Linked DNA regions of Pelodiscus sinensis. The protein of the gene in region 4 purifies or fractionates together with the protein of the main gene of each other region. This does not show direct contact. Links are inferred from orthologs where the notes say so. Each region holds a gene or a part of one and is shown on either strand. Other genes may lie near its edges. The genes, in order: SMARCE1, ubiquitin carboxyl-terminal hydrolase 36, ZMYND8 and CHD4.

Region 1 (7,919 bases), on a different chromosome or scaffold from region 4:
TCAAATAGAAAAAAAAAATCAGACTTTACTGACATACAGTATTTTGGCCACACACTAACCTGATGAAACTAAAGGTAACGGAAGTTATTTACTTTAATCAGAGCACAACTACATGCTAAGTTATTCTGAGTGTGAAAGTCACTCAACTCACCTACAAGTGAAAGATTCCCACAGTATAACTCTAGCCTCAATTTCTACACAATTCTTGTTTGCTGTTTAAAACATCTGGCACCAAACCAGCTATGGTGTTTGGTGAGTACAAATTGAGTTGCAAGAAAAAGAGCAGCACAAATAGTTTAAATGTTGGGTTAGTTAATTTAGAGAATACCGAGTTCATGCTGCTCTGTCCCCGGTATAATCCTCTCTATTACATGAAGTCTGTTCTTGATTTTAGGTTTTATAAGCTGCAATATGAGGTGTTGATATTTTAAATGTGCATTCTATTTTAAATTACATTTCCTCCACTTACAGTAAAAATATAAGTGGAGATTTTTTTAATGGATTTTTCACAGAGTCATACTTTTCAAAGTTAAGAGATTTATTTTCTTCTCCCTGTACTATCAGAACAGTCAATACATCAATATGAATTATGTGTGTATATATTGACCAAACTGTCTTGGAATTTGGTCACTGTATAGTGATACTCAAAAAGCTCAATACTGAGGGACTACATGATTTGGGATTGAGCTACTGCCATCTGACAAAAGTAGAATGACCTTTGAGAACTTAAGTTTTATTGTCCCATAGGTCATTCTGCATCCTACCATTTCCTAGTAGAAGATGCAGAAATCTCAGCAGTTAAACCAAAGATTAAGGGCTACATATTGCCACCTTTATTTATAAAATCAAAGGACTACTTATATAGCAAGATGCTAGTCAACCACCACACAAAGCCCTGGTCTACATTAGAGAGTTATTTTAAAATAACCCCCCTTATTTTGAAATAAACAAAGGATCCACACTACCAAGTTCAAAATAACAGGCTGGTCATTACAAAATCTATATTCCTGCTTTCCCTGGGGAATAACACATATTTCAAAATAGTTATTTTGAAAGAGCATCCACACTAACAGTACACTGCTACTATTTCAAAATAACTACTTCCCAGACTAATTCAAAGTAATTATTCCCCAGTCCTTTCTGGGGCTCTAAGTCAAGGAAGCATGTCCACAATAATGGAGCCTGCCTCAGACTAATGTCGAGGCTCCCCCCATAGTGGGGACATGCTCTTTTGATTTTATTTTGGGTGTTATTTCTAATTTAGTTATTTCAAAATGATTTCCTAGTGTAGACATGCCCTAAGGGTGGCAGAGTCTGACCTTAAACAAATATGGAAAAGAAATTTAATTATCTTCTCATGATCTGTCTCTCCAGATCATGATACAGGCACTTTGTTGGCACAATACGGTGAAGTTTGTATTGTTGTTGCCTGTATTTTATATATTTCCTTATGAATAAATAGAGTACTGTCATGCACCTCTTCATACATATAATGAAAGAGCAGAAATCAACACAACTTTGCTAATCAGTGGAACACATACAATAGGTTTGGCATGTCAGCATGAAAAATGAAATATAAGAACACACACCACACCCGTACATTAAATATCTGAGTTAGATGCATAAATCCTGTTTTAGATTTTATCTTTCCTTTTAATTTTCTATGCATACAAAATAATTATTTTTCTTGGCAGATCTATAATACATGAAGTACAGAAAACTTTCATACTGTAATTAACATGATACTTTGTGTGTGCCAATAGGACTTCAAAATATCCACCACTAACATACAATGCTATAAGCAGGATTAGGAGGGAAAACTTTTGAGACTGCTTGACAGTTACTGCCTTGTCAATAAGTACAACATAGATCATGAATCCCTGAAACTTCCTCTTGTGTGAAACCTTCCACCTTAGCTTTCACAAATTATTTGAGAACCGTATAAAAAAAATATAACTAAAATTTGCACATTTGAAAAGAGAAGTAGTCAATAGCTGGTAGAAGAACTGAATTCCTGCCAAATTACTTCAAACGAGACTCCATATTGTAAACACTTTCCAGGATTGGACCTACGGACTCTTACAGAGCAGTCATATCACCCATTCAGACTAAGGAAAAAAAATCTTAAAGTCTGTGGGAGTTTTACTGAATTAAGGGTTGAATGTTATGTTGTACTTTAAGTATCAAAGTGTTTACATTTAAGCCATCAATGGATAAATATGCTACTGTTTCACTGCTGAAAACATGTCATGATATTTTTCAATTAACATGTCTGAGGAGACAAGGTAGGTGCAGTAATGTCTTTCATTGGAAAAACTTGTTTGGGGAAGAGTGTGTAGCTCGACCGCTTTTCTCTCTCATTGAAGCTGGTGCATAAAAAGATATTACCTCACCCATATTGTCTCACTAATATCCTGGGATAAATTCACAACAAGAACTCTGCATATACCTACAAATGCAGGATCTTGGGGAAGAAGGTGTCCTTTCATCACTTTGAATGTAGCTATTTTCTGGTAAAATAATGCAGAAGGTACATTCCCTCTTCTAGCAACTGCAGAGTAAATCTATTTCCAGAAAGAAAAATACAAGACCTAAATTACAATAAAGGGCATGTGGGAAGAAAGTGGTATCGATTCACCCACAACCCAGTGACTGTTCACTCCAGTGGAGCTATTCTCATTGTTAAGTGCTCAATCATATAAAGATTGCACAGTTGTGACCAGCATATACAAAAACCAATGAGAAATATTTCAAAAACATAGACTCATATGACTGTATCTAAGAGCATTTTAGCATTTTCATATTATCAAAATCACGTTATACTAGATTGGAGAGAAAAGAGTGGTGTAATGGTGTGAGACCAAGAAGGAAAGCAAGAATTAATGGACCCTACTTTCACCTCTACTACCTGCACTCTTCTCCAGAAACTCCTTAACTAACAGCAGGTAAAAACTTGAGTGAAATGGTATTTTGCCAATATAAAAACAATATTCTCACCTTTTTCACATAAATTTTCTGATGATGTATAATGGTGGTTTAAAAAGAAGTTCATAAAAATATGTATTTTGGTTCCCTTTGTTTTTTGTAGCCAAATGCAAGTTATGGATTTATCCCTTGTACTTGAGCAAGGGATAAATTGTGAGCCAATGTGGACCTTGACCTTCTATTTATTTGAAAAAGTGACAGATCTTCAGTGACCAACATCTGATTAGACAAACTCTGAATGTCCCAGAGAAAACACTGGCCCTTATTTCTAAAGACAAGTATTTAAGAGAACCATGTCCAGCAATGCCTCACCCTGGGCGGAGGGCAATCCATAGGATTTATGGGACTCTACGCTGTATGATTAAATTGATGTCCCTAAGCCTGATGGGGCAGCTGGGTGGATGGGGAAGACAATTTTTTAGAATTGTGCTTTTATAACCTTCAGCAAAATGCTAACAACATATTTTTAAAACAATTTTAAACTAGTCCTGTAAGTTTCTGAATGGACAACATATACCTGGAGTTTACAAATGTCTGTTAAATGACTTCATTACCAGTTGAATGGCTCTTTCGCAGGTTCAGGGTTCTGCTAATAGCTCTGGCAGGCTTTTTTCACCAGATCCTCTCCAGAGGAAGCCACAAACCAAGGAAAGGAAGAAGCAGATGTATGGACAGTCACATTAAGACCCAGTGGTTCCTCAAATTTTCAAGTGTCCTATGCAGGGTATGGATATGGGTATGGATAACTCTTCCTCAATATCTCTATTTAAATAGCTGAGTGCAGCCTTTAGTGGGGCATGCATAGGGTTATAAAATAACCATCTGATGCAGCTTCTCATATTATTGCAAAAGCGACGAGGAGTCCTGTGGCACCTAACACGGCTACCCCTCTGATACTTCATATTATTGCAATAAACATACATGTGGTGCAGGGACACCTCAGATAACTATGTGGGTAGAGACGCTTCCTCCTATATCAGTAACTATGCCAAGGCACATTATGTTGCAATTACAGTTGCCAGATGGTTTTGGAAAAAATACCAAATATCCCCCCTCCCCCAAAATATCCCAGGCCAGGAAAAAGTTTGTTGGGGGGGGGGGGGGGGGGGGAAGTGGTCCCTTTAAAAAAAATGCATGCTGAGGCTTTTTGGCACTAACAGGCTGCAGGTGGGCGTCCACCATCTTGCCTCCCTGCACTGGGCCAGACTGAGCACTGGGGCTGCCGGGCTGCCTCCATATTGAGCCAGACAGTCTGGGATTTTCACCTCCTAGCTAGGAAAATAGGGGCCATTTTAAGTGACGGGTATTTTCTGAATTTTTTTTACCACACAGGAGATGAAAATACAGACAGTCCGTTTCAATACCAGACCCCTGGCAACCCTACGCATGGCCGTCCCTGGGGCCGGGACACCTGGTTTTTAAAGGGGCAGCTGTAGCCTAGGCACCCGTGTGTTATAACCAGGAGGCTGCAACCGAGGCCTGCATAGCAGAGAGGTGCGACCTGCATCAGCTGGTTCCTTAGAAGCCAAGGCGGAGAGCTGACAGGAGGCGCAGCGCGAGTCGGCGGCCGGCCACCGCCTCTCCTCAAGCGACGGCTTGACAGGCTGGGGGGCGCGAGACTAACGGTCGCGAGAGGGGGAAAAGGCGCCAAAACAGTGGCGCGTGTCCTCCGAGGCGCGAGAACGAACCTAAAGGCCGCGAGAACACAACGCTCCAAACCCCACCCCCACCCCGGGAGCTGCGGCGCGTCACGGGGTCGCGAGTCCCTTGCGCGCCTCCTAGCGCGCCATGCGGGTCACCTGACGTGGCGCCGCTCGTCACGTCAAGCGGTCTAGCCAAGCTGTTGTGCCTCTTGGCTTTCTCGTTCGGCTCCGCAGATTCGCCACAGAGCAACCCTCCTTTCCCTGCCCTGACGGGAGACGATAAAAATTCCCTGGGTGTTGCGGGAGGGAGCCTGGCCAGGAATAAGCCAGGGGAGGGAGTGAAAAAGCGGGGGAGCTGGGGACTCCGTGTGGAATGTGCTGAGGCGGAAGGGCGGGCGGCTTCCCCCGAGTCGCTGCTGCCCACTCAGGAGCGCGCTGTTGGCTGAGAACAAAGGGGGCCCAGGCCGGTGCTGGAGCGGGTGAGTGTCTGAGGCGATGGGCGCTGCGTGAGTGGGCCCGGCACCGGCCCCGCGAAAAAGAGACCGTGGGAGAGTGGGGGGAGGGCAGTGGGAGAGCGATGCCCCCCCCGCGTCCACGCCCATGGGCGGAGGAGTAGCCAGCCCCCGCCCCCCACGCACCTCGCAGGGAGAGGGAGAGACACACGATGCCCCCCCCCCGCCTCCCCTACATGCGCTTCGCGGGGGGGAGGGGGGAGAGAGTGGTGCCCACGGACACCCCATGGGCAGGGGGTAGCCAGCTCACTCCGTGCAGGGAGAGCAGAGAGACAGCGGTGCCCAAGGGAGGGGGATAGCCAGCCCCCTTCTGGTGCTTTGAAGTGGGGAGGGCAGTAGCTCGTCCCCTCCATGCATCCTTGCAGGGAGAGGAGAGAGACAGTCATGCCCAGAGCAGGGGGAGTAGCCAGCCCCCTCCTTGCACCTTGCAGGGGAGGAGGGCCATAGCTAGCCCAATGGTTTTCACAGCTGGATCAGGGACTGGCCTAGGTAAACTGCTGTGGGGCCCACAATGCTTTGTTTATCTAAGGGTGTGTCTAGACTATAGGGTTCTGTCGACGAAAGTAGACTTTTGTCCACAAAATTATACCTGCGTCTACACTGCCGCTGAGTTCTGTCAACATAGCGCCGACAGGACTCAGCAGTTTTCTCAACAGCTGTAAACTTCATTCTACGAGGAATAACACCTTTTGTCGACAGAGTTCTGTCAACAGAAGGCATTATTGCATCTACATTGTCCTGTGTGTCTACACTGTCATGTTGACAAAGCGGCTGGCTTTGTCGACAGAACTGGATGTAGTCTAGACACTCTTTGTCGACAGAAGCTTTGTCGACAGTATCTGTTGACAAAAGCCTGTAGTCTGGACGTACCCTAAGTGTCCATAACTACAGAGCCTCACAGCTCCTCTTGGCTGAAAATGGCAAACTGCAGCCAGTGGGAGCTGCTTACACATAAATAAACAAAGCATGGGGGGAGAGGAGCCTGCCTCTGGGTTATGACCCAATTTTGAAAATCACTGAGCTAACCACCCCCCATGCACCTTGCAGGAGAAGAGAGGTAGCTAGTCCCCCTCTTCATGCACCTCACAAGGAGAAGGGAATGGTTCCCTTTCCCCCTCCTTCCACCTTGAAGGGAGAATAGGCTGTCAGCAATAACGAAGGAAGCAATTATTTCTTGCCCCGTTCCCAAAAATGGTAGCGAAGAAGGCAGGTACTATCCTCCCTTAAGCAAGTACACCTGCTGTAGTGACTGGTACCATGTCTGCATTTGTCATGCCGGAGATCAATCTTTTGGTATTCAATTTAGTGGGTCTAGTTAAGACCTTCAAAATGAAACTCAGGGCGGCTCTGGTTGGTGCCAGTACTCCTAGCAGTCGTGACAAGTAAAGGAAGTAGACTGGACTCCCTCTGTGAACACTGTACCAAGGTCCACTTAGGGTAAGCCAACTCCAGCAACGTATTTTACGTACCTGGAGTTGCATACCTTAACTCAACCTTCCAGGTATAATGTTTTCAAAGGTACCCTTACTGATTGGAGTAAAACTCTCAAGGTGTAAAACCCTGTGTTCAGAAGTGACATGGCTGTGTTTTTATCACCTACGTGCTTAGTATGTGCCTCATCTTAAAAAAAAAGTTGTAAAATTAGTATGTTACATATTATGTTTGTATATTTTGTATATTCCTTCCCATTCACCCCAAAATTGGATGAATAATGAGATCTTTCTGTTGTTCTCAAGCCAGGCCTCCATTTAAAATTGACCTACTGAAGCATTCTTTTCATTTAACCTTGTTGGAATCTCAACTGAGAGCATAACTTCTTTCGTAAGAGTTATCCAGTGTCGCCTACATTCCAGACCATCCATAGACCTTGGGCATGGAAATGTACGTGCCTAAGTACTTTATTATGTGTGGAAATAATCACGGGTTCAGCATTGAAACCTGTGCCTATAGTAGTGTTAATATTTGATGCCATAGACATTATTTATGTCAGATGATGAGCATTTACAGGATTGGGACCAATTTTGCTCTCTCAAATCCAATAAACTGTGGAAAAACATTGGAAATGCTTATCTTGTGTCTACATGAAGTAGTAGTACAGATTATAGGGCTATGATTTCTAAAGCATACAAATGTTAGCTGGTGTGTGCTACAAGTTCCCTTGTGTGCTTTAACATGGTGTTGTTTTAAACAGTACTGTGCTACATTAAAGCACATTAGCGAACTTTATACAGATTATTTATATTACAGGCTATACAATGAGCCCCTCAAAAACCTCATTGGACATATACATATAGCAAAATTGCTAAAAAATAAACCCCATAAAATGAAATTAATAAATTCTGAAAAACAGAAGCTCTAATTATGTTCTTTGTTTTAACAGTTCATGAAAACAGAAAGTGTTGTATTTAACAGTCTGACACTGTGTTCTCTTTTTTGTTTTTCAGAATTTGAGATATAATGTCAGCTGGCTGAAAATTTATCTGCCAAAATGTCAAGTAAGTTTGTATTTTTTTTAAATGTAAGACGTCTGTTCGGTGGCACTTACTTTCATGAATAACATTGCTGTTACATGGGAAAGGGCTACTACACCACGAAAATTATAAGAGGAATATTATCAGGTACAGTAATTATAAGTGAACTACCAATCAGTTAGTACTAAATATTACAGCAGTTCATAGCCAACATTGTGCACTGAGGATTTCTTTTAAGTGTCCAAAAGGTGAAAGGAACATGCAAGCATCCTACCTGCCAAGCTGCATAATTGTACTTTAGCCACTTT
Region 2 (7,948 bases), on a different chromosome or scaffold from region 4:
CTCGCCGTGCCACCCGTAGCGCGGACGAGCCCAGCAGGCTGGCACATCCTGGGAAGACGAGCGGCTCCCAGAGAGCCCCCCCCCCCCCCCCCCAGTCCTCTACGCACCCTGCTTCCTGATCTGGGCCTCATCGGAGCTCTTCTGGCGACCGGCACTCTCGGCCCTGGGGTTCAGCAGGACGTACTTGCCCTTCAGGGTCTCCAGCTGGTAGGAGAAGCTCTTGCTCGCCGGCTCAAACTCGATCTTCTGCAGCAGGATCTTCTTGGCAGACGACGCCAGCAGCTTGCCCAGCTCCCCATCCTCAGCAGAGTCCTTCCGGCCTGGCTTGAGCGCCTCCTTCAGCTTGTCCACGATGGGCATGGCGCAGCGGGGGCGGCTCAGCTGGCTACCCGGGGACGCGTCTCTCTGCAGGGGAGAGCAGGAGGAGTCTGGCCAGGCGGGAACTGCCACAGAGCGCCCAGAGCCATGTCAGACACGGGGGGGGGGAGGGTCAGTCTGCAGGAGCCCTGGCCTGCCAGCCCCCCAGAGAGCTCAGCACGCCGGTCAGCGCCGCCCTCCCGCTGCCACGGGGCCAGCGGAGCGTCTCCGCTCTGCCAGCTACGCTGGGACCTGCCCAGAGACAGCCCATGGCTCCGCGAAGCAGGGAGAGCCAGGAAAGGAGTTATGGGTCCCAAGAGCACCAGGCCACGCTCCACACTGCTCCCAGACCCACCAGCAGCTCCCTCTACCCCAGGGCTGGGGACCCTGGTAGGGTCGGGGGCCACACGAGCAAGCAGCAAAAAGAAACACCCCTCACAGACACGGCCCCCGGCTGAGGAGCAGAAATAGGGGCGCGAGCAACTGGCTGGCTAGCAAATGCCAACTCCACCCGTCACTTCCCCCCCTTTGCTGCCTCCATCAGAGAGAGGCAGCAAGCGGGGGGGGGGGGGGGGGGGGGCAGAGGCAGGAGTCAGTGCTGGGGATGGGGGGCAGCTGAAAAGCCGGTCCCCCCTGCACTGCCTCTGGGGGGGCAGAGGGGAAACAGCGCGAGGGGGGACTGAAGCAGCCCCTGCTCCCCCCACGTGGCGCTGGCTAGATTTCTGAATCAAGCACTGCAGTGGGAACTAGGGGTGTCGGACACTAGTCGACTCCTTGCTTCCCCCCCTCGTTGCCTCTAGGACAGACAGCGGGGGGGGGGGGGGGGCAGGAACCAGTGCTGGGGGAAGCTGGCTTAAAAACCAGTTCTCCCCAGAACTGTCTCCAGGGCTCCACCTGCCCCCCACTGCTTCTATAAGGGCAGGGGGGATGGGGAGGCTGCTGCTAAGCACCCCCTGTCTGCAGGGGTCCCAGTGGGGAGCAGCCCCCGCTACAGACAGGCTCAGTCCCGCTGCAGCGGCTCCACGGCCCATGGGGCTAGCTAGGTAACGGCAACGGAGCATCCTTAAGCAGAAAGGCCCCTCGCGCCCCAGGGCCCTGGGGCCAGGCGACTCGCTGTCTGTGCGTCAGCCCCATGGGGGGCGGCTGGGCCTGGAGCTCCAACACGGGCTCCCCAGTGCCGTGGGGAGGAACCCCCATCTGGGGGGGCTGACCCCCCGGGCCTCAGGCTCCCCACCCGGCCCCACCTGGGCAAGAGCCGCAGGGCGCAGCCCCCCCACCCCCGGCCGGACACAGGCAGCGGAGCGAGCTCCTGGGCGGCACCGCAGGGCCCCGGCCCCCGGCTCCCCCTGCGGCGCGGGGCTCTCACCTCCAGAGCCGGGGCTCAGCCGGCCCCTGCGGGGGCATCTGCGCTGGCGGGAGCGCCCGGGCCCGGCGCAGCGGGGGAGCCGGGGGGCCACTGCCCTGGCAGGGGGACGCGCTGCTCCCGGCCGGGAGGGGACACGGGCTGTGGCGGAGGCGAGGAGGGTCAGACCAGGCCGGGCGGAGACAGACCCGCCCCCCCCAGCAGGGACCGCCCCTGCGCCCCGCAGCGCACCCGCCCCCCCGCTCGCCCTGCTCCCCCCGCCCCCCAGGCCGCCCGGCCCCCCCCCTCGCCCTGCTCCCCCCGCCCCCCAGGCCGCCCGCCCCCCCCGCTCACCCTGCCCCCCGCTCGCCCTGCTCCCCCCGCCCCCCAGGCCGCCCGGCCCCCCCGCTCGCCCTGCTCCCCCCGCCCCCCCAGACCGCCCGGCCCCCCCCCGCTCCCCCCGCCCCCCCAGACCGCCCGGCCCCCCCCCGCTCGCCCTGCTCCCCCCGCGCCCCAGACCGCCCGGCCCCCCCCCCCCGCTCGCCCTGCTCCCCCCACCCCCCAGGCCGCCCGGCCCCCCCCCCGCTCGCCCTGCTCCCCCCGCCCCCCAGGCCGCCCGCCCCCCCCGCTCACCCTGCCCCCCGCTCGCCCTGCTCCCCCCGCCCCCCAGGCCGCCCGGCCCCCCCGCTCGCCCTGCTCCCCCCGCCCCCCCAGACCGCCCGGCCCCCCCCCGCTCCCCCTGCTCCCCCCGCCCCCCCAGACCGCCCGACCCCCCCCCCGCTCGCCCTGCTCCCCCCGCCCCCCAGACCGCCCGGCCCCCCCCCGCTCGCCCTGCTCCCCCCGCCCCCCCAGCCCCCCCCCGCTCGCCCTGCTCCCCCCGCCCCCCCAGACCGCCCGGCTCCCTCCGCCCCCCCAGACCGCCCGGCCCCCCCCCGCTCGCCCTGCTCCCCCAGACCGCCCGGCCCCCCCCCGCTCGCCATGCTCCCCCCGCCCCCCCAGCCCCCCCCCGCTCGCCATGCTCCCCCCGCCCCCCCTGCCCCCCCAGCCCGCCCCCGCTCGCCCTGCTCCCCCCGCCCCCCCAGACCGCCCGGCCCCCCCCCGCTCGCCCTGCTCCCCCAGACCGCCCGGCCCCCCCCCGCTCGCCATGCCCCCCCCGCCCGGCTCGCGCCCCCCCCCGCTACCTGCTCCGGCTCCGGCCTCTCGCAGCATCCGGGCCTCCGCGGCCGCACACGTGTCTGCGCCTTAAAGGGGAGGAGTCGGCGCCTGCGCGGGACCCGCCACATAACCCCCGCTCCCCGCGCTCACCGCCTCCCCTTTAAGGGGCGGGGTCTGCGCAGGCTCCGCGCCGTGACGCGATGGCGTAACCTCGTCCCGCTGCGCCTTCTGCGCGTGCCACCCACAGCCCCGCCCCCTGGCCGCGTGGCCCCGCCCCCGTGCCGTGGCCGGGAGTTCCGCAGGGCGGCGCGCCCGCCCGGCTGCACGCGGCTGCCTGTAGCGCCCCCTCCTGAGTCCGCCTGGCACGGGAGCTTGCCACAGCCCTGCTCCTCCCTGCCCAATGGCCCGTCTCATGTTTCCCACCCAAGGCGGAATAAATGTTGTTCTGTGCACCAAGGCATGTGCGGATGTGCACCACCAACAGACACACACGCATGGGCACTGTGCTAATTAGCCGGGTGGAATTTAACCTCTCCTGGCCGGAAGCCCAAGTGCTCAGCTTACGGGAACCCCATCTCTCCTGCCCTTCTCTGTCTCTTTGCCGGTTCCATGGCTGGGTAGCTGCAGGCTGTAGCCAAAGCATGGGCGTACCATGGATTTCTACGGGGGCTGTGAGATCTTGTGTCGTTTCTGTCCCTTGCCTGCCGCTTCCCACCACTGTTCGCTGTTCCTGCCGCTGCACGCTGAGTCCTTGTTTTCAGAGCCGTTGTTCTTGAGCGGTGGCCGCGCAGAAGGCGCAGCGGGACGAGGTTACGCCATCGCGTAGACCCATCATTTGGTGCCTATGGCCAGGACCATGTTTCCCAATGCGCTTGACTCTGCATTTATCAGCCCTGAACTTCATTTGCCATTTTGTTTTGTTGCCAGTTGCCCAGGCTCTGCCCAGTCTGCTTTGAACTTAGCTATCCAGAGTAGTTTTGTATCAGCTACAGACTTTGCCACCTCGCCCTTTACCCCCTTTTCTAGACCGTTTCTGAACCTGTGCAACAGCCCTGATCCCAGGACAGGTCTTGTGGGGGCACCACTATTTACCTCTCTAGTTTGAAAACTGACTGGTGCTGCCATCTCCAGTCGTCAGAGAGGGGAGCTGTGTTAGTCTGTGTCCACAAAAACAGGAAGTCCTGGGGCCTGGTCAAGAGTAACATTTACGTGGGCATAAGCTCTCTGGGCAAACACCCATGTGTCCGACAAAGCGGGTTTTTGCCCAGGAAAGCTTATGCCCAAGTAAACCGGTTAGTCTTTATGGTGGCTCTAGACTTTCCATTTTGAGAATTTCTTTGCAACCATGAAGCCTAGAAATGAACTGTTTAAAAAAGGAGGCTGAGATTCCCCTATAATCACGTGAACCCAGGAGCAGGGGCTTTAAGAAATATCATCAGATTCTGTGCGAGTCGGCAACACTGACACTGACTGGTTATTTCTACCCTGCGTTTCCTGTCTTTAACCAGTCACCGATCCAGGAGAGGCACGCCCCTCGTCTCCCACGACAGCTTCCTTTGCTTACAAACCTTTGGCGAGGGACCTTGAGAAAGGCTTTGTGAAAGTCCAACTACTCTGTGTAGGGATAACATATTAAAGTATTAAACATGATTCCCCCAAGTGGAAGTGACTCCTCATAATTTGTTCCCCACAACTAAAAGTCTAAGTAGTATAAGTTTGTTAAGTAGAAGCAGCATAGAAGTGTTTAGATTTATTCTTGTTAAAGTGTTTAGATTTAGTGTTATCAAGCTTGATAAGTGTTTAGATTTATTATTATTATTATTTGTTAAGATTGTTAAATGTTTAGATGTATTACTATGTAGCCAGAAACAGCTCCCCTCTCTGTGTTCCAGGGCTTGAAATTGACATTGCAGGATACATTGTAACAATGCATTGTCAAGCCACTAACTCTGCTCTGGGAGCCAAGCCCTGTAATTGACTAAGGGCATTGTTGTAACTATAGCAGTCACTACTCAGCACTCAGAGAGAGAATGTTTTAAGAAATGCCACCCAGAAACTTGTGACTTTTGGTAACTACAACTCTTGTCTATGTAAAGTTATTATACAAAATACTGTCTGGGAAACATTCATTAGGGAATGTATGTAAGAGAGAGAGTGCTTGGATGATGAATGAATGGTTCTGAGAGGTGCCAGCCTGAGAATGCAGCAACAAAGGGCTGAAGAAGGCGTCAGGTGCCAGTGCAACCAAAAGGTGTCAAGTGGAGAAAACCAAGTACTGGAGATCCACCTGATGAGATCACTGACCAGCACCTGGCAGCCACCCTGGACATCAGCATGATGCAGCAATTCCCATAGACTGGCATAGGAAGAAAGTCCTATAAGAACTGGACTAAAAGACTATGGAGTCAGAGTCCAAGGTTCTGCTGCCAGCCCACCAGGAGCTTCAGATGCGCATCTGATCAGGACTTCGCTCCCCACTCCCATCACTTGTGTACAGAATACCTGGCCAGTATTCGGTCACAAGCAACTTCCAGACTGGTAACTGTAACAAATACGCAGAACCTGGATGAATGGATGAATGAATGTTTATATGTATAATGTGTGTGTGTGTGTGTGTGTGTGTGTGTGTGTGTGTGTGTGTGTGTATGTATAAGGGTTAAGTGGTGATAGGAATAAGTAGTTAAACAACGTTGTTTGCTTCTATCTTTTCTTTATTCTTTATTATTATCTTTACAATAAATGTGGCTTTTTGCCTTATCCCCCTCATAAGATCCTGCTTGCTTTTATTGGTACAACACCTGTGTCCATTGGATCACGCTCGTCCACATCTTGTCCTCGAAGAGCTCTAATGGCTTACACTTTCCCCAAAAGACTCCCTCTCTCTCTCTGTCTCTCTCTCTCTCTCTCTCAGAGTAGTCCATGTGCAGGATGCAGCGCATGGATCTTCTCTTGTTTCAGGCTGTTTGTTCCTGCAGGTTTAGGCCAGTGTCTGGATTTCCAAAGGGGGCCCCACCTCCATTCACCACTGCCCGAGGCTAGGCTGGTACTGCATCCTCCTCCCCCAAACTCCTCTTTTTCCTGCTGCATGGCCTTGGCCGGGAAGAGGAAGCTAAAAATCTCCCAAAGGGTCCACACCTCCATTTGAAGTTCTTTAGGGGTCCACAGATTAAAGTGTTGTAAACTCTGCCAGCATTATTTGACTATTGTTGTCTGACCCGCTCCTCCTGCAACTGTGAATATTGCCGTCAAAACTGGGCGGGGGGAGCTCTCCGAGAAACACGGATATTAGCCACTGAAATGATAAAACTGGCATTGTGCCAAGCCGAAATCCTTGCTCTCAGTAATCATGTTGCAGCACTACTTGCCTGAGGAGCAGCTCAGCAGGACAGCCCCTCGCCATGTTAGGAGCAAGCAAGAGCTGAGCGCGTGGCCAGGGCAGGGTTTTGACATTTGCTGGGGGTTCTCAAGCATGGCCATTATAGCGAGAGCAACACTGGGCCGATCTCTCCAGGGGTCTCGCCCGGAGCTGTGGGTTCCCAAAATTGTACATGAAGAAGGCTGATGCAGCGGAACAACTTCAGCAACAACAAACTTAGCCAGCAAAACTTCTGCACTGAGGGAAGTGGGCGGATATCTATGGCACAGCCCCCCCAACGCTGGGTGGATTACTCACCCGCTCACAGCCAGTCCCACATGCACAAGCAGATTGGTGCGCCTGTCTAGCATCCCCAGTTGTATGTGGTACTTATTTCCACAGCCCCAGAGAGGTGCAGCAAATTCAGAGAGGAAAGCATTTCATTTTGTACAATATTGTTTATTGTCCAAAGACTGAATGTCCACATATGAATTATACAGAGCGTCAGAGACACGCACAGTCTGCTTGTCATTATTCAACAACTTTCATGTGTTTCCAGCACAAGAAGGTCTCAGACTTCAGATTCCAGCAAAAACATATTGCTCCAAAAAAACAAAAAAAAAACCAACCCAAAAAACCAAACCAAACAAAAACAACCCCACCCAGAAGCTTTAAATTATGGCAGCAAGTTCGATGCTCCTTATTTGTAATACTTATCAAGCAAAGATTTGAAGAGCACGATAGTGTAAACTTTATTTTTTTAAAATATTTTGAGTTGCTTGCATGGAAAAGGGGACTGGAGCTAGGAAGAAAGGCAGAGAATGGAACCAAGAACCAAAGGCATAAATTAAAACAAGCCAATCGACCCTCCTTCATACACTTGACAGAGAGATGTTTGCAATTCTGTCGTGTGAGGCCCCCTGCTCTTGGAGACAAACTAGCAAGGCCTTGCTGAACAAGAGGTAAATGGATGGGACCTCCCATCCCCCATCCCATATTATTAGTAAATCCAACTTCTGAAGACTTGTGCACTTGGCAGAAGAGGGGGACCCGGGAAGGAGGAAAAATACAAACTAACAGGAAAATCTGGAGGATTCAACCCTCCACAGACTTTCTCGACATTCGTCCCGCTTCATGTTGAATGCTTCCAATGCAGAAACGCGTTTTAAAAAAATAAGTGCAATTCTAATACCTAACAAGGAAATTTAAAAGTTACAGCACAGGAATGATACAGCTGATGCCAAAACAAACCGAAACATTAAAATCAAAGAGAGCATTTGAGACAGGAGTAAATGTCACATATGATATAACCGTACAGTAAGCAAACAGGAGTCTTATATTGGAGTGATTAGGTTTTTTTCCTCTTCATTTTTATATACTGAAAATCACCCAGACTGGTCCAGTATGACATCATTAAAAGCCTACACCGATGCACAGCATGAAAATGCCCCGGAAGCAGGTCTGCAGGGATAATTTCCAGACACTGGCTGGGCCTACGTTAGCCAGGCTACGCAGGTTCTCACAAAGGTCCCGGCTGGCGAGGCAGCGCTCTAGGGCCTCAACACAATGAAACTGGCTCAGGAGAGTGGGGCTGAGGGTGGCTGGGAGGGCTTCCCAGAAGACTGCGGGGCCGGGGCGTGTAGGCAGCCAGATGTCAGGTTGGGCTGCGTGCCTGCACGTGCATCGTCACGGCACAGGATGGGCTCATGCTCCCAGCCCGGGGGCCATCCCTGCCACAG
Region 3 (6,819 bases), on a different chromosome or scaffold from region 4:
GGTGCTGGCCAGTGTCAGCAGACAGGGCTAGAAGGACCTTTGGTCTGACCCAGTACGGCCGTTCTTATGTTCTTATGTACATATTGTTTGTGAAATAACACTGCAGTTTTACATGACTTAAATAAATACAAGACTATTCAAATCTGGAAATGGTCAGAAGAGGTAGGCATCAATAATGGAAAAATTCTGCCAGTATAGACCCATGAGGAGCTGGCAGATGACCCAGTGAAATCAGTTCATCTTCCCATTTTACAGATTGTCCCCACAGTATGTTGAAGCACCTGGGGATATATTTGTAAAAAAAAGTCTCTTCCTTAATCATCTGATTCCGTTGTCTGTCAAATATCAGCATATGAATTAAGGAAAAATACAGGTTTCATTTCCTTTTTTTTAGACCCAATACAGCTAACAAAGAACAATATATATTATATTCTGTCTCTAGCATCATCTAGCAAATTGTCGGTTAAATTCAGCTAATGCATTCTTTACTGTATGTGATAATGCCAGAGGCAGCCAGTAAATCTTACATTAACTTTACAAATAAAAATGCCAAGTACTGAAAAGTATATCCGATGCCTGAAAAAGCATACAGAATCCCATCCCATAATTTACCCTGGGAAAATGTCACTGACTTTTTTTTACTAGGTCAGAACAATTTCATTATTAATCCTTTCTACTTACTCATGCATAGCAGAATATGACCAATTGCTATTGTATCATGTTAAAGTTTCACAGAAAGACACTGTTCATTCTGCATACCAAGACAATATTAGCAACCTCATCCTGGCTCAAACCCAGAAACAACTTTATTTTGAAGCTCACTTACTAGTTGCTTTGATGCTAAAAATTAATTACGTCACAAAACTACATTTAAAATAGTTACAGTACTGTCTTCAGTACAGCTGAATAAATAATAAAATATTTATTATTTTGTAATAAATAATTTATTGCATAAGTTCAGGCTTGTCTTCCATTAGCAGAAACGCAGTGAGTGGTTTTCCTCAGATATATTTAGTACACCCACTCTAAATGCTCAAATGTCATACATTAGGCCCCCCACAAATTTAACTAAAATAATTTTTAAAATAATATTAGGCCTTTTTATTAGCTTCGAGTCATTGGGGTTCACCTTTCACAGCTTTTTGTTCAATCATAGAAGTTTAAAAAAAAACCTTCAGAAAACCTGAGATTCTTAAATGTAAAGGAGCTGGATCTTAAAGAAAAACACTAAATATCACCAGACTTGTGATTAAATTGCAAGAATTGGTATCAGAACAAAAGGTTCCAAATATTTTTCACTGTAAATTGATCATGATTTATAAAAAGTTCACTGAGAGTACTTGACAATGAGTCAAGTAACACATGCTGTTTCTGATTCCCAAACAAATGATACAAATACTTTTGAAGTGAATATAAACATGAAATTCAGTTTCCTGCACTACATATGCCTGAAACTTTGACAGAGAGCAAAAATGGGGCCTGAACTAGGTTAAGTGGTAGTGTCAATATGTCAGTTAACCGATGAGCATGGGCTCATCAGGTAACCTCAACGGTTACACAGAGCCCCCACCCTGCTGCCTCCCCTCCCCCCTTTAGATGTGTAACCATTGAAAATGTCAGTGGTTACACATTTAGCTGAATACACTCATTTTAACATTCTCAGCTTGAACGTGTCCAAACTGGATTTATTTAAAAATGTAGTAATTGAATATTCCTAGGAATATCACTGAGATCAAGTAAAAAGTAATTTTAGGGAGTTATTTTATAAGTTATTTTATATTAATTGGAATTTATGCAACATTTGCTAAGTAATAAATGATGTGAAAAGTGATACTAACTTTAGGACTGCTTTTTCCTGTCACAAATACTAAGTTTTCACTCCCCACTTAAATTCCTTTCTGCAATTTGATCCATGCAGGTGGAGCTTGCCACATCTGAAGAAGTGGGTTGTGCCCACAAAAGCTCATGATACCAGCTACATTTTTTGTTAGACTCTAATGTACTGCAGGACTAGTCACAGTTTACTGTAGTCAATTCCAGTTCAGCGTGGATTCAAAGTTTCCAGCTACACGCATTGGATTAGAGGATGAGGCCAAACACCTTTTATTTTTCTGTCACCTGAATTCTTTCAAGATTCTGATGAAGAACCCATCATTTCAGGCCATTCTCTAGGACGCCCTTTCAAAATTCCATTGTTTGTTTCCTCAGGCCATTAACAATGATTTCCCTTATTTCAGCATAGGAAATTCCAGAAAGTTCCCTCTACCTTACTGACCAACAGTACTGCCCATGGAAACTCCTGAAAGTTTCAATGAATTTTTGAGTAGATGAGGGAATAAAGACCCCTGGCATCTTAATGAAAGTTCCTCCCTCCATGTGAGAAAATTAGTCTCCATTCAGACTCCCCGCACCCTCCATTTTTCAGCCAGGTCTGAGGGGCAGCACCGCAGCCACTACAAAGATACAAGAGCTTTCCACCCCAGCCTGCAACTCTTTGTTTCTGGGCTACGCGGTTGGCCTTCCGTCCTGGATGCTGCGACTGACACGCTACGACAAAGCACCACTTCCAGGGACCTGAGCGAAGCCACTCAGTTCACACGACTGACAGCCAGCCGGCCGCGACGACGACAATGCGGTGCCTATTGAAACCTGCCTTCTCCATAGAGCCGCCTCCCACTCGTATGGGTCTGTCAGCTCCAGAAGAGGCACCCCAGCATCGGAACCAGGACGGAGCGGGACCTACTAGGACCTGTCATCTCCATTAGAGCCACTGGCTGGTAGGACTGAAGCACGGCGCGCAGAGGCCTACCGCCGCCACGCCAATAGCAGCAGCACCTCAAGCAGCGCGCGCTACCGCTCCGAGCTCCACCCACAAAACGGAGTGGAAACCTTAGCAACCGCGACAACCCCGCTTCCGCCCTCCCCTCCAAAGGGTTGCATTAGTTGTCTTCTGTAAAGCCCACCCACCGCAGGCGGAGTCACATGCCCCACCCTCTGGCTCATCTCATTAGCTGGAGTCGGTGTCACTCCTGGGGACCGCGAGAGCTATTCCGAGAATCAAACGGCGACTTTTGCCCCGCCCCTCTCTGAAAGCCACACCTCCCAGTGGCACGGCGATTAACCAGGACAACTGTCAATCATTGTGCTCCTGGATTGAGACTGGCTGATGCTGAGCTGTGGGCGGGCGGCGAAAAGCCGGGGTGTTTACTGTGCGTGAGGTGAGGGGGCTGTTGAGGAAGAATCACCACCTCTTTCCTGGACCCGGCCGGCTGCTAGGCCCTCGGGGGTTACCATGGGACTCCGAAGGAAGAACAAGAGCCCAGCTGTGCTGAGCCATGAATTCGTGATCCAGAACCATGCGGACGCCGTGTCCTGCCTGGCTATGGGCTTCCTGCTGGGGCTTATGTTCGAGGTACGGGGGCTGGGGGCTCTACCTGCGGCCGCCGAGCGGGGAGCACCCGTCCCAAGCGAGCCATACCGTTATTTCCGACCTGCGCCACCGCTGCTGGTCTGCGGGCAGCGGCCGAGCCTCGTCTCACACCCATCTCACTACTGGTCGCGATCCTCTTCTGCGCGCTCCGTTCTCCCCAGACCTGTCCTTGCTTGGGCCCCGTTTCTCCTGCCTCCCCAGCGCCTCACTCCGAGGGTTGGCCTTGTGACACACCCTCGCTCTCATCTCCCCCGTGCGCTGGTCCCCATGCTATTTATCCGGGCCCTCTTGTCATTGCTGTCTATCCCCGGACCCTTCATGCTCGTTCGTTCCTTTCCGCTGTATCCGACGCCCCTAGCTCACGACCTGCCCTCCTGAATCCCTATTGCCACACAGCTTCCCTTGTCGGCCCCTTCACATTAGTTGTAGCCCGTATTCCTTCCCAGCAAGCCCCTCATTCCCATCCATGCTCTTGGAGCCCAACCTGCCTTTTCTCTCGGGCGTGGTTTGAACTTTTTCGTGGAAACTTTGCAGTGGTGGAAACGTGGGTTATTGGAAATAGAGCTCCAGGTGGCCACTGGTGTTTTAACCACCAGATTGGCTTGACCTGTTATGAGCAGGGTCGGATGACATGGCAGTTGAAATGGTACCAGCAGTCCACCTCTGTTATTGATGATTCTTGCTCTCACTGACTCAGGTCAGTCAGTGATGGAGATCTAAAGAAAAATGCTAGTATTGACACAATCTTAGACTTGTCTCCCAATCCCTCTTCTCTTATGTATTTTAAAGTTAACTTTTTCTAATTAAATGAAGATGACACCTTTGATTTGGCTGAATTTTTTAGGTTTTGTTCTCTGGAATAAAATTGTTGTGTCATGATGCTGTATGAGTTCATTGTGTTAGTCTGTAAGTTGTTTAGTTTGATTTTTACTGCTGCTCTCAAGAATGGGGCAACCTAATGAAACAGGTAAGGCAGGTTGTTTGCCTTTTGTTTGGGGTTTTGTGGAGGTAGATGGGAAGGGGAGATGTCAGGACTGTCTGGAAACATGGTTTTCCAAGCTGAGACAATTTATGTCTGGGAAAGTTGTTACTGAAACAATCCAAACATCACTCATCACCTTGAGCTAGATTTAAAATAAGAATACTTAAAAATGAGAAAATACTTTGAAATACTGGGTTGAAAGATATTACGCAGTGTGAAGTATTATCTTTAAGGGTTTGTTCTTTACTGCTATGCTAGTCCTTTAGAATTCAGTGAATTATGCTGGAAAAGGGTGGATAATGGAGTCACGATAATCAAATAATGTCCCTCCAAACAAATGACAGATGCTAAGTTGGGTGATGCTGTAGTGTGCTGCATTAGAAGTGGTACAAACTAAAGCGGCTATATGACGCAGATAGAATGCTGGGATAGAAAGTGAAGTTGTGGAGAATCATTAGTTACAAGAGGAGGCTGAAGGTGGAAAAACTTTGATCCTCCTATGCGGACTAATAGGATATTTTGTCATGTGAATCCCTGGAATATGAGTTAAAGTGGATGAATTGGTCAAAAGTTAGAATGCTAAAAACAAACAGTTTGCGAAATTGTTTGTAAATCCTTGCTTGTCCAAAGTCAGTACGATCCTGTGTGTAAACAAACATTTACAGCCCCTCTAGCACTCAGTGTGATATTAATATAGTTTATTCCTGTACAACATGGGTGACCAGCCCATTCTGGGCAAAGAGCCAAGATAGCAGTGGATCCAGCACAAAGAGTTGAAAGGGGCAAAGTTGTAGAGGAGGGGGGAAAAAAAAAAAGATTGCCCCTTTAAAACGAGCCCCTGGTCATGTTTGGTCAAGCAAAAAAAAAAAAAAAACACCTCTTTAAAAAAAGGCTCTGCCCCTTTAAGAAACCGCATTGAAACGCGTTTTGAAGCTTTTGGGCCACAGCAGGCTCCCGCCACCTGCCGCCATCTTTATTTCTGTTGCTTTCATGGCTGCACCAGACAGCTCCCCTGCCCAGGTCAGCACAGGAAGCTGGGAGGAGAGGCCTTTTTTTAGGGGCGTGGGGGAGGCTTTCGAGCCATGGGGGCAGGGGGAGGCTTCATGAGCTGCACCCGGGGTTGGGGGGGGGGAAGAAGAGCCATATGTGGCTCGCAAGCCTTGGGTTGGCCACCCTTGCTGTACAGGAAGGAGAATAAGCAGTGTTTATGTCAGGCAGTATAATTTCATAAATAGTGAGGTTAAACCCATTTAACTATAGCTATAAAATATTACACCCATAACTGACCTAGCCATACAAGTACAGTTCTAAATGTAGTTTGTGCTGGGAATATTCAGCTGCATTCAAAGAACAATATTTTGTGTTGCGTTCTTCTGTCTGATGCAAAATGCATATACACAGTGCTATTGCAATCAATTCAAATTATGCAAAATAGGCAAAGGTGAGCTTGTGTAGCAAGTTAACTTTTAAGACTGTAATGCAATTTTTGGAAAAGTTGATTAAGAAACCTTTAAAGTTCCTGATGATCATGGACAGCCATTTGTAGAGGGCTGTGCTTGTCAATGTAATGAAAGTTCAGAAGAGTTCAGATCAGGGTCACTTGGTTGTTTTGATGGTGCTAGATCTCAACAGTTGTTGATGACATTGTGGTTTGAAAAATTCATTCATCCTGAAAAGTGAGAACTTTGTCCAGATAAGTAAGAAAATATATGCTATCAACTTCTTAAAAAAAAAAAAAAAAAGCTTTTATTATAAATTAAATTAAAACATTGAAGTGCTGGTCATTCTTTGAAGGGTCTACATACTCCTCTCTATTTCCATTCTTCTTTCAGGGCACTGCAAAGATTTCCTCTTCTGCATCTTGAAGTGTTTTGACTATCATTTTTGGGGTGGGGGTGGTGTCCTTGCCACGTGTGGAATGCAGCCTCATGTAGAACTGGCAGATTTGTAAAGGGGTCTAGGCCACGTATAAAATGGAACTTATTTTATAAGTGACAGATCTATGGGTAGACCCAATTTTTTGTTCTCCTCCCTTTCCTTCTGGTACAATGTGTGAAAGAACTTTGCCCAGCATTGCTTTTCTTTTTGTTGTAGCACAGGGTAAGGATGTTAAGAAGCGGGTAATTGACTAATTGTGTAGTCAGTACAGTTTGTATCGATTACACAATTAGTCGATAAGGTGAGGTGGGGTCCAAGAACGATGCCTGCTGCAGCTCTGCCTTTTAAATGTAGCAAGAGCCACCAGGCTCTTACTACTACATTTAAAAGATGGACATGCAGCAGTCCAGGACCTGGTGTGAGCCCCCCACCTCTGCACCATGTAGACAAGTCCTAGGAAAAACACCCTTCGCGGGTCAGATCTGGCCTGCCACGCCACTGGATCCAGCCCATGGATGCAGCGGGAAGT
Region 4 (7,466 bases):
CAGTTGGGGGCTGCACACAAGTGCGAATCAAAAAAACCCAAAACACCTTCTCTGATATGGCCCCTAACTAAGAAGGAGAAAAACATTCCCCACATCCTCCTCACACACCAGAGTCTTTGGGGGCCCAGGCTAGTAGATGGTGTGTGCTCCAGCTCTGCAGGAGGCCTACAGCATCAGCATGGGCTCCCCAATGCTGGGAGGGAGCCTTAGGCCTCAGGCCTTAATCTCCCCACCTCTGATCTAAGTGAGCTAACATATTGCATAGAAGACCTTAGCATACCCCTAGGAGTATGCATACCCTGGGCATAGCCCTGGTTAAGAGCCAGGGACCTAAGTGACTTCCCTGCCCCAGACTCAGACGCCTATGTACGAGGTAGGGATGATTTTAGAGTTCCTTTCTCAAACTCCTATTTTACACTGTTGCAAAATGAGTTGTACATCCATATAAGTCAGCAACAGATCTGGGAATAGAACCTGAAAACTGACTTTCAGCATCCAGGGCTCTAACCTGATTCAGATTCTCAGACAGAGACTTCAGTTACAGTGAAAGCCAGGTATGAGGCCTGAAGAGGCAAATACTAAGGCAGGGATTTTTAACTTTTTTCTTTGGAGTGTCCATCCCCCCCCCCCCACACACACACCATGCTATAAAAGCTCCACCCATGCCACAACCTATTTTTAACATATAAAGCCAAGGGCAGAATTAGGGGGTAGAAAGTTGGGCAACTGTCAAGGGCCCTGTGCTAGAGGGGGCCACCATGAAATTAAGATGGCTTGGCTTCAGTCCCAAATGGTAGGGTCCATGGCCCAGGCTTTTGCCCCATACAGTGGGGCTTTGCCTTTCCATCCTGGATCTCAGCAAATCTGGTGCCAGCCCTGCTTAGTAAACTCCCTGAAACCTACTCACAGCCCCCCAGGGGTCCCTGGATCCCTGACTGAGAGCAGTTGTACTAAGTGAAGTGCACAGGCAAGCTACTGATACAAAACACAAAAACAGGGGCTAAGGTGAACAGTGTAGAATGATCCATGGGAAGCTTGGAGAGTAGGGTGTGGTGAACAAAAAGTGGGTCATGCAATAGCCCAAGGCAGTTTCCTCTGGACTGTCAGCAGGTCTGAGCTCCCAGATGGATGAGAGGAAAGCCAGACACCTTGCCCTCCCACATACTGGTTCCAGTCCCAGCCATGGTACATACACCTTGCTGGCAACACACATGCCCCATTAAAACCAGACTCCCTGTCAGATGGATTGCCAACAGCCTGCACTAGCTTTGAATAAAATAATTTCTACTTCACCAAGGTGTGCAGACCACAGGTTTTAAAAAGGCCACAATAAAGAAACCAAAATATTCTAATCACCTGGGCTCTTAATAAAACAAAACTTATCATTTACATGCATCACCCATTCAATAAAACTGATAGACCCACTACCACTCCTTTTTACAACGGTAGCCCTGGGCATCCTACCTATACCTTGGTGCTGGGCAATGCTGTTATTCAGCAGGATCTCCATCTCCTCATCATCACTGCCAGCAGAACAAGGGGACGGGGAGCCAATGCCCGATGCCATGTCCTCCAAACTGGGGTACCCGGGCTCCAACAGCTTCTGCAGCCTTGTCTCCTCCTTGCCAGTCAGGCCAGTAACTTAGCATAAAAAAGTTAACTTTGATAGTCAGCACGAACCCACGTTCCCATACAATAATGTTACCCAATGGATGACCTACATTAGAAGGCTTTAAAAAACATCAGTATGGAATTTAGAACTGCTCGCCCCCCAAATAAGGGAGGAGTAGAGAAGAATGGAAATGCTGAGATTGGGCACTAGTTGAGGGTCCTGATGGGGGCAGTTTTGTGTCTACTGGGAATTAAACTGTCAGGAACGGACTGCAGGCAAAGGGCCACCAAATGGCAGTCCGATGATAGTTTCCAAACCCTTTCTGACATGACGCCAGACTAGCCCCGGTGCAGTAGAGCATGGCTACATGGAGTTCGGGGGCTTTTAAGTCAATCGGTCACCATTTAATTCGAGGCAGTTAACACCTTCGTCAAAGCTGCTCTTGATGACCCCTCACCCCAACTTTTGTGGCTTTACTACTCCAGGGAGTCAGCCCCGGCTGAGCTACCGGCGGGTGCAGCAGGGAACAAGTGTTTGAGGAACAGCCAAACTCGCTTTTGCAAAGTCTTCCCTGCCTCGAGCTGGCGATCAATGGACGGGAGGGAAAGCTCCAAGGAAGACCGGCTCCTAGCGGTGCGAGAGACCCGCGTCGCAGCCGCCCCCTTCCCCACCGGGCCCCCACCAAAACCCTTTCTAGTGCCGGGGGCCCACGTGCCCCCGCCCCACGGACCCGGCGAGGCAGGACCAGCCACAGCCGCGCGGTCCAGGGGCCCCACCACGCCCCCGGGAGCCGCCCCCCGCCCGCTTTCACGCAGGCAAAACAAAGGCGAGCCCGTGGCAGGCGCCGCGCGGGCTCCCGGCGAGCCCGCCCCCCCGCGCACAAGGAAGGGGGCGGCAGCAGCACGCGGCCAGCCGGGCTCCTGGCGGGGGGCGGGCGCAGCTGCGGCTCGGGGCGCGCGGCCAGTCCCGGGGGGCGGGCGGGGCGGCCCCGGGCAGCGCGAGGCGGCGGCGGGAGCGGGGCCGTTCCCCGGGCGGGGCGAGGTAGCGCCGGGGAAGGAGGGTCCCCGGGCGCCGCGGCCGCTCCGTGCCCAGCGGGGACACAAGGCGGCCGGGCCGAGGTCGGCGCCCCCGGGAGCCGGGGGGAAGGGCAGCTCCCGGGGCCGGGGGGCGCCGCCACGAGGGGTCAGCGCCGCGTCCTGCCCTTTGAAGCGATGTTGGGGGTTGTGTCCGGTCCCTGCCCCTCTCCTCACCCAGCTCGCCCCCGGCTCCTCGCTCTCGCTGCCGCCGCTGAAGGGAAAATGGCCCCCGCTCCAGCACCACCTCTTAAAGGGGAAAAAACCCGACCAGGCCCCTCCCCGCTCCCGCTTCCAGCCCATAATATGTCCCGACACCTCGGCAATGGGTCCGCCCCCGTCACCCTGGCAACCCCCTAACTGAGACATCCCATAATACTTGCCCTCCCTTTAGAACTCCCTACTCACTGGCCGGCCCAGCATCCCATAATAATCACCCCTCCCAGCAGGAACATCCCATAATACACCCCTCCCTCTGAGAAACATCCCATAATATTCCTCACACTTCACCCCCTCACTCAAACATCCCATAATATTACTCCTTTGCTAAAACATGCCATAATAGTCCCCTTCCCTCTCCCTCACAGAGACATCCCATAATAATTGTACTCTCCCCACACACTCTGACATCCACTCTCACCCCCAGTATCCCATAATATCTCTCCTCCCCATACCATTCCCCCCTCCCTCGTCCAGACATCCTACCATAATCCCCCTGCCTTGTTAAAATATCCCCTAATACCACACACTCACTGTCCAACCTGGCATCCCATAATAAGCACTACTCCCTCTACAACTCCCCCCCCAGACATTCCATAACAGCCCCCATAGCATCCCATAATAGTCATACCCCAGACAGATATCCCATAATAATAGTCGCCCTTCTCATCCTCCCCTCTCAGCCAGACATCCCATAATAGTTGCCAGGAGCCACTGTCCAGCCAGACATCCCATAATACTCTCAGCGATTCTTAGCCACAACCCACAATACTCCCACTGACTGCTTGCTCCCCCACTCCAGCCAGGCAGCCCATAATAATCACATTCATGTATTTCCCCCCCCACTCTACCCAGACAGACCAGAAGGCACCGGTGCCATCTGAATAGCCCACAGTACTCAAGCATGGAGACAAGCATCCTGTAGTACTACCTACCAATCCCTCCTCAGAAAATCTAATAATAATACTCACGATACATACTCACCATTCGCCCCACCCCCACTTCCCATCTACGCAGACCATAATAACCACTGGGGGCACAGGGCCAGCCATGCATCCCATAATACTCTGGCACAGACTGCCAGGCTTCTTTGTTCCTCCAGATGATACACTCAATGTATCCCATAATGATCAACACCCCCCTCCCAAACACACACTCAGGCAGGTAGCCCATAATATTCACTGGAATCAGCCTCTAGCCAGACATCCCATAATAATGATGTTCACCCCACTTTTAAAAGTGAATCAAGCATTCAATCCTACATATAAACCCCATTAAGGAATGCCATCCTACAGAACAGAAGAACAATCCATGTGAACAACTCTGAGACTCAAACATCCTACCAAGGTCAGGCATTATCCACCTCCCACTCCCAGATATTAGACATGTCCATCTCTTAATGATATACATCTTCATGGTATAAACTTAATAGTATCTTTATCCCTTCCATTTTATACATGGACTTCCCCTAATGGTATTTGTCCTTCTTTATAAAACACACAGCTATTCTATAACTGTGTCCTTCCCATTGTGTGTATATGTATATATGGACATCCCATAAGATTATTCACATCATTATATATACAGACATCCCATATTACAATCCTTGCATGCCCTAATAATATCTATTCTATCCCATTACACACATTAATATATTATCTAACCATTCCTTTATACACATGGATATCCCATAGTATTGTCCTCCCCTTTGTTGAACACACCAACATCCCATAATACAATCACTAATAATCCCTTACTATACACATGTAAATCCCATAATAGCACCCATCCCTATTTATGTGCACACAGAGACCATAACACTATCCACCCTTCCATTAGAGGTATCCATATCCCAGTTATATACAGACTTCCATATGACTATCCGTTCTTTTCATTATCCATATGGACATCTTACAGTATATACACACCCCATTGTAACCACAGGCATCTCATGTCCTTCCCTTAATACTGTATTTCAGTGGTCCCCAACCTTTAGAGGCTCCCGGGCGCCTGGGGGGGGGGCCACTCACGCTCCGGGCACCCGGGGGGGTGGAGCCATTCACGCACCAGGCGCCCGGGGGCGGGGCCGCGCGTCCTGGGGCACGCCAGGGGCGGGGATGCCCTTGCACCCGGCGCCGGCATGTGCCCCGGGGCCGGGGCCGGGGCCGCCCAAGCGCCTTGTGCTCAAGCTCCCCCACTGCCTCATCGTGGGCTGGAACATACAAAATCTGCTAGCCTGCATCCCTCTAGGCTCTGGCATGCAATGGTAATGTGGGGAGTATCTTTCACCTTCTTAGTCTGGGGCCATGTGAGTGAGGGGTTTTTGTTTTGTTTTGTTTTTTTTGGGGGGGGTTGCTTTTCATTTGTGTGCAGCCCCCGATTGATTTTTCTGTGGGTCAGTGGTCCCTGGCTCAAAAAAGTTTCCTCACCTCTGTCCTACACTGTCCATTCCTCCCAGTAGACACATGAACATCACTTAATACTACTCATTTTCTATTATACATGGATATTCTATAATGCTATCCAAACCCCTTGTTACATACACACACCTCCCACAACAGTATCCATCTATTGTTATAAACACAGCTACCTCATGATCAGGGCCGAACGAAGGCATGGGCGAGCCGGGCAGCTGCACAGGGCGCCAACCGATGAGGAGCGCCTGATGGCAGCTGTAAGAGGCGCGCGGCGTCCCTTACAGCTGACAACAGGCGCCGTGTGCCCGGCTTCCGCAGTGCCAGCCCCACGGTGCTGGCCAGCAGTGCCCTTGCCCTCACGGCTGTGGGGCCCTGCACAGCCTGGCACACGCGCCAGCAGCACACACCAGGCTGGGCTGGGCAGCGCATGCGCCATGCGCCCGGGGAGGGGGGTGTCGCGCGCCCAGGCCCAGAGTGCCAAAAGGGCTCGGGCCGGCCCTGGTCATGATACCACTGAAGCCTCTCTAGTACACATAGCCATCTCATAATACGATCTTTTCTTTGTTATAGTCATCCTACAATTCTGTCTATTCCCCCTTCCCCTGTGAAATAGTTACCCCATACTGCTATCCATTTCTCTTCACTCTGGCTATGTCTACCCTACACTTTTTTTCCAATTCTTTTTTCGGAAGAGGCTTTTCCAAAATTTGGCCCATCTACACTGGGCCAAATTTCGGAAAAACCTCCTCTTTCGGAAGTGCCCTTATTCCTCATAAAATGAGGAATACAGGGCTTCCGAAAGAGCGCATCTGCTCTTCCGAAAAAGAATTCAGAAGAGCAGACGCGTTCCCTGGATGTGGCGGAGTTTTTCTGGGATCCCGGAAAAATTCCATAGTGTAGACATGAGCCATGAGCATACATCCCATAATACACCTCTCATTATACACATCAGCATCCCATAATACTATCCATCTTATACACACATGGACGATTGACATCCTCCAAATTCAGTGTATGTATTTACACTACTATCCAAACCAGACTATCCACCTTAAAATACTTTTTACTACTCACAGTAGTACTTTTACTACTCACAGTAGTACTTTTACTACTCACAGTAGTAAAAATACTTTTACTACTCACCATCACTTTCCACCCACCTGTACACACACACACAATACATCTCTTCACCTCATTGCTTCAGTTTTTCAACTGTAAAGTGGAGAAAATGATACTGTCCTTCCTTTATGTGAGACGTATAGACAAAAATGCTGCGTAAGAAGTGAAAGATGTTACTCTTACAAATATTACTGGCAAGCGCCCAGTCTATCCACTGTAATAAACTCTATCACCTATTATAGACATGTACATCTTATCTTCATCCTCACTATACATGCAAATGTTCCATAAAGCTGTCCATTCCCTCTTTACACACTGATATCCAGTAATGCTATCAGGGTTGTGGTTGTTTGGGAAGAACCATAAAGCTTCATGATAAACAGGTCAACTGTCTACATACACAGCTGGTTATTACAGAGTTCTAGATATATCCCATACAAATTTCATCTTTATGGGTGTGATCAAGTTATTAAAGGTAACACAAGGCAGAATCTCTGGAACCAGGCCAAGTATCAAAGTTATGTCTCTGTATACCCTATACTACTTTTCCATTTAGGGTTATGATCTTGGGAGGACTACATGCTACCATGGTATAACACAGGCCTGTTTTGCAACATATATTTGTTTGGATGTCATGATTAATGTTAATCCTCTCCCTCTCCCTCATTATTCTTCATAAATGAAAGTTTCTCATTCAGCAGAAACCTTAATTCTGACCTGTAGTAATGCCATGCAAAAACATGCTTGGTTTAGAAAATTGTTCGTTCCCTGATACTAATTGGCTGGTCATTGGTCTTTGCTCCGGTGTCCATTTTGACTTGAGAGGAACTTCCTTTATTTTTAGGTAACAAATCATCCATCATGGTAGGTTGAGGCCTGCTTGGAGTTGAAACAGGTCTCCAGCCCTGTGATTAGACTGTTCATATCCATCTCTCATGCTAGGAGTTTTCTGTCCCCTTTGTTAGACTTGGGTTCAGCCTACACTTAATCTGCATAGTGGTTTTAACTACCAAGCTTCTGAAAAAT

Evidence for each region.
Region 1: the proteins of CHD4 (region 4) and SMARCE1 purify together in Homo sapiens (affinity purification with western blotting; 3 studies listed by BioGRID, with this or other methods). This does not show direct contact. The link is inferred for Pelodiscus sinensis from reciprocal best matches to the Homo sapiens genes CHD4 and SMARCE1.
Region 2: the proteins of CHD4 (region 4) and ubiquitin carboxyl-terminal hydrolase 36 purify together in Homo sapiens (affinity purification with mass spectrometry; 3 studies listed by BioGRID and IntAct, with this or other methods). This does not show direct contact. The link is inferred for Pelodiscus sinensis from reciprocal best matches to the Homo sapiens genes CHD4 and USP36.
Region 3: the proteins of CHD4 (region 4) and ZMYND8 purify together in Homo sapiens (affinity purification with mass spectrometry; 7 studies listed by BioGRID and IntAct, with this or other methods). This does not show direct contact. The link is inferred for Pelodiscus sinensis from reciprocal best matches to the Homo sapiens genes CHD4 and ZMYND8.

What each region holds. Positions count from the first base shown.
Region 1 is NC_134739.1:10,452,027-10,459,945, forward strand, and holds the start of SMARCE1 (SWI/SNF-related matrix-associated actin-dependent regulator of chromatin subfamily E member 1), read left to right. Parts: upstream 1-4,901; 5' UTR 4,902-5,107; intron 5,108-6,880; 5' UTR 6,881-7,021; intron 7,022-7,584; 5' UTR 7,585-7,628; coding exon 7,629-7,635; intron 7,636-7,919. UniProt on the Homo sapiens protein: Involved in transcriptional activation and repression of select genes by chromatin remodeling (alteration of DNA-nucleosome topology).
Region 2 is NC_134730.1:29,153,220-29,161,167, reverse strand, and holds the start of ubiquitin carboxyl-terminal hydrolase 36, read right to left. Parts: upstream 3,001-7,948; 5' UTR 2,881-3,000; intron 1,862-2,880; 5' UTR 1,724-1,861; intron 406-1,723; 5' UTR 361-405; coding exon 108-360; intron 1-107. UniProt on the Homo sapiens protein: Deubiquitinase essential for the regulation of nucleolar structure and function. Required for cell and organism viability.
Region 3 is NC_134728.1:21,915,384-21,922,202, reverse strand, and holds the start of ZMYND8 (MYND-type zinc finger-containing chromatin reader ZMYND8), read right to left. Parts: upstream 3,019-6,819; 5' UTR 3,004-3,018; coding exon 2,968-3,003; intron 2,860-2,967; exon of another isoform or gene 2,663-2,859; coding exon of another isoform or gene 2,654-2,662; intron 1-2,653. Other genes in the region: translocating chain-associated membrane protein 1-like 1, read left to right, coding at 3,293-3,412. UniProt on the Homo sapiens protein: Chromatin reader that recognizes dual histone modifications such as histone H3.1 dimethylated at 'Lys-36' and histone H4 acetylated at 'Lys-16' (H3.1K36me2-H4K16ac) and histone H3 methylated at 'Lys-4' and histone H4 acetylated at 'Lys-14' (H3K4me1-H3K14ac).
Region 4 is NC_134711.1:138,730,073-138,737,538, reverse strand, and holds the start of CHD4 (chromodomain-helicase-DNA-binding protein 4), read right to left. Parts: upstream 3,019-7,466; 5' UTR 2,863-3,018; intron 1,642-2,862; 5' UTR 1,568-1,641; coding exon 1,465-1,567; intron 1-1,464. UniProt on the Homo sapiens protein: ATP-dependent chromatin-remodeling factor that binds and distorts nucleosomal DNA. Acts as a component of the histone deacetylase NuRD complex which participates in the remodeling of chromatin.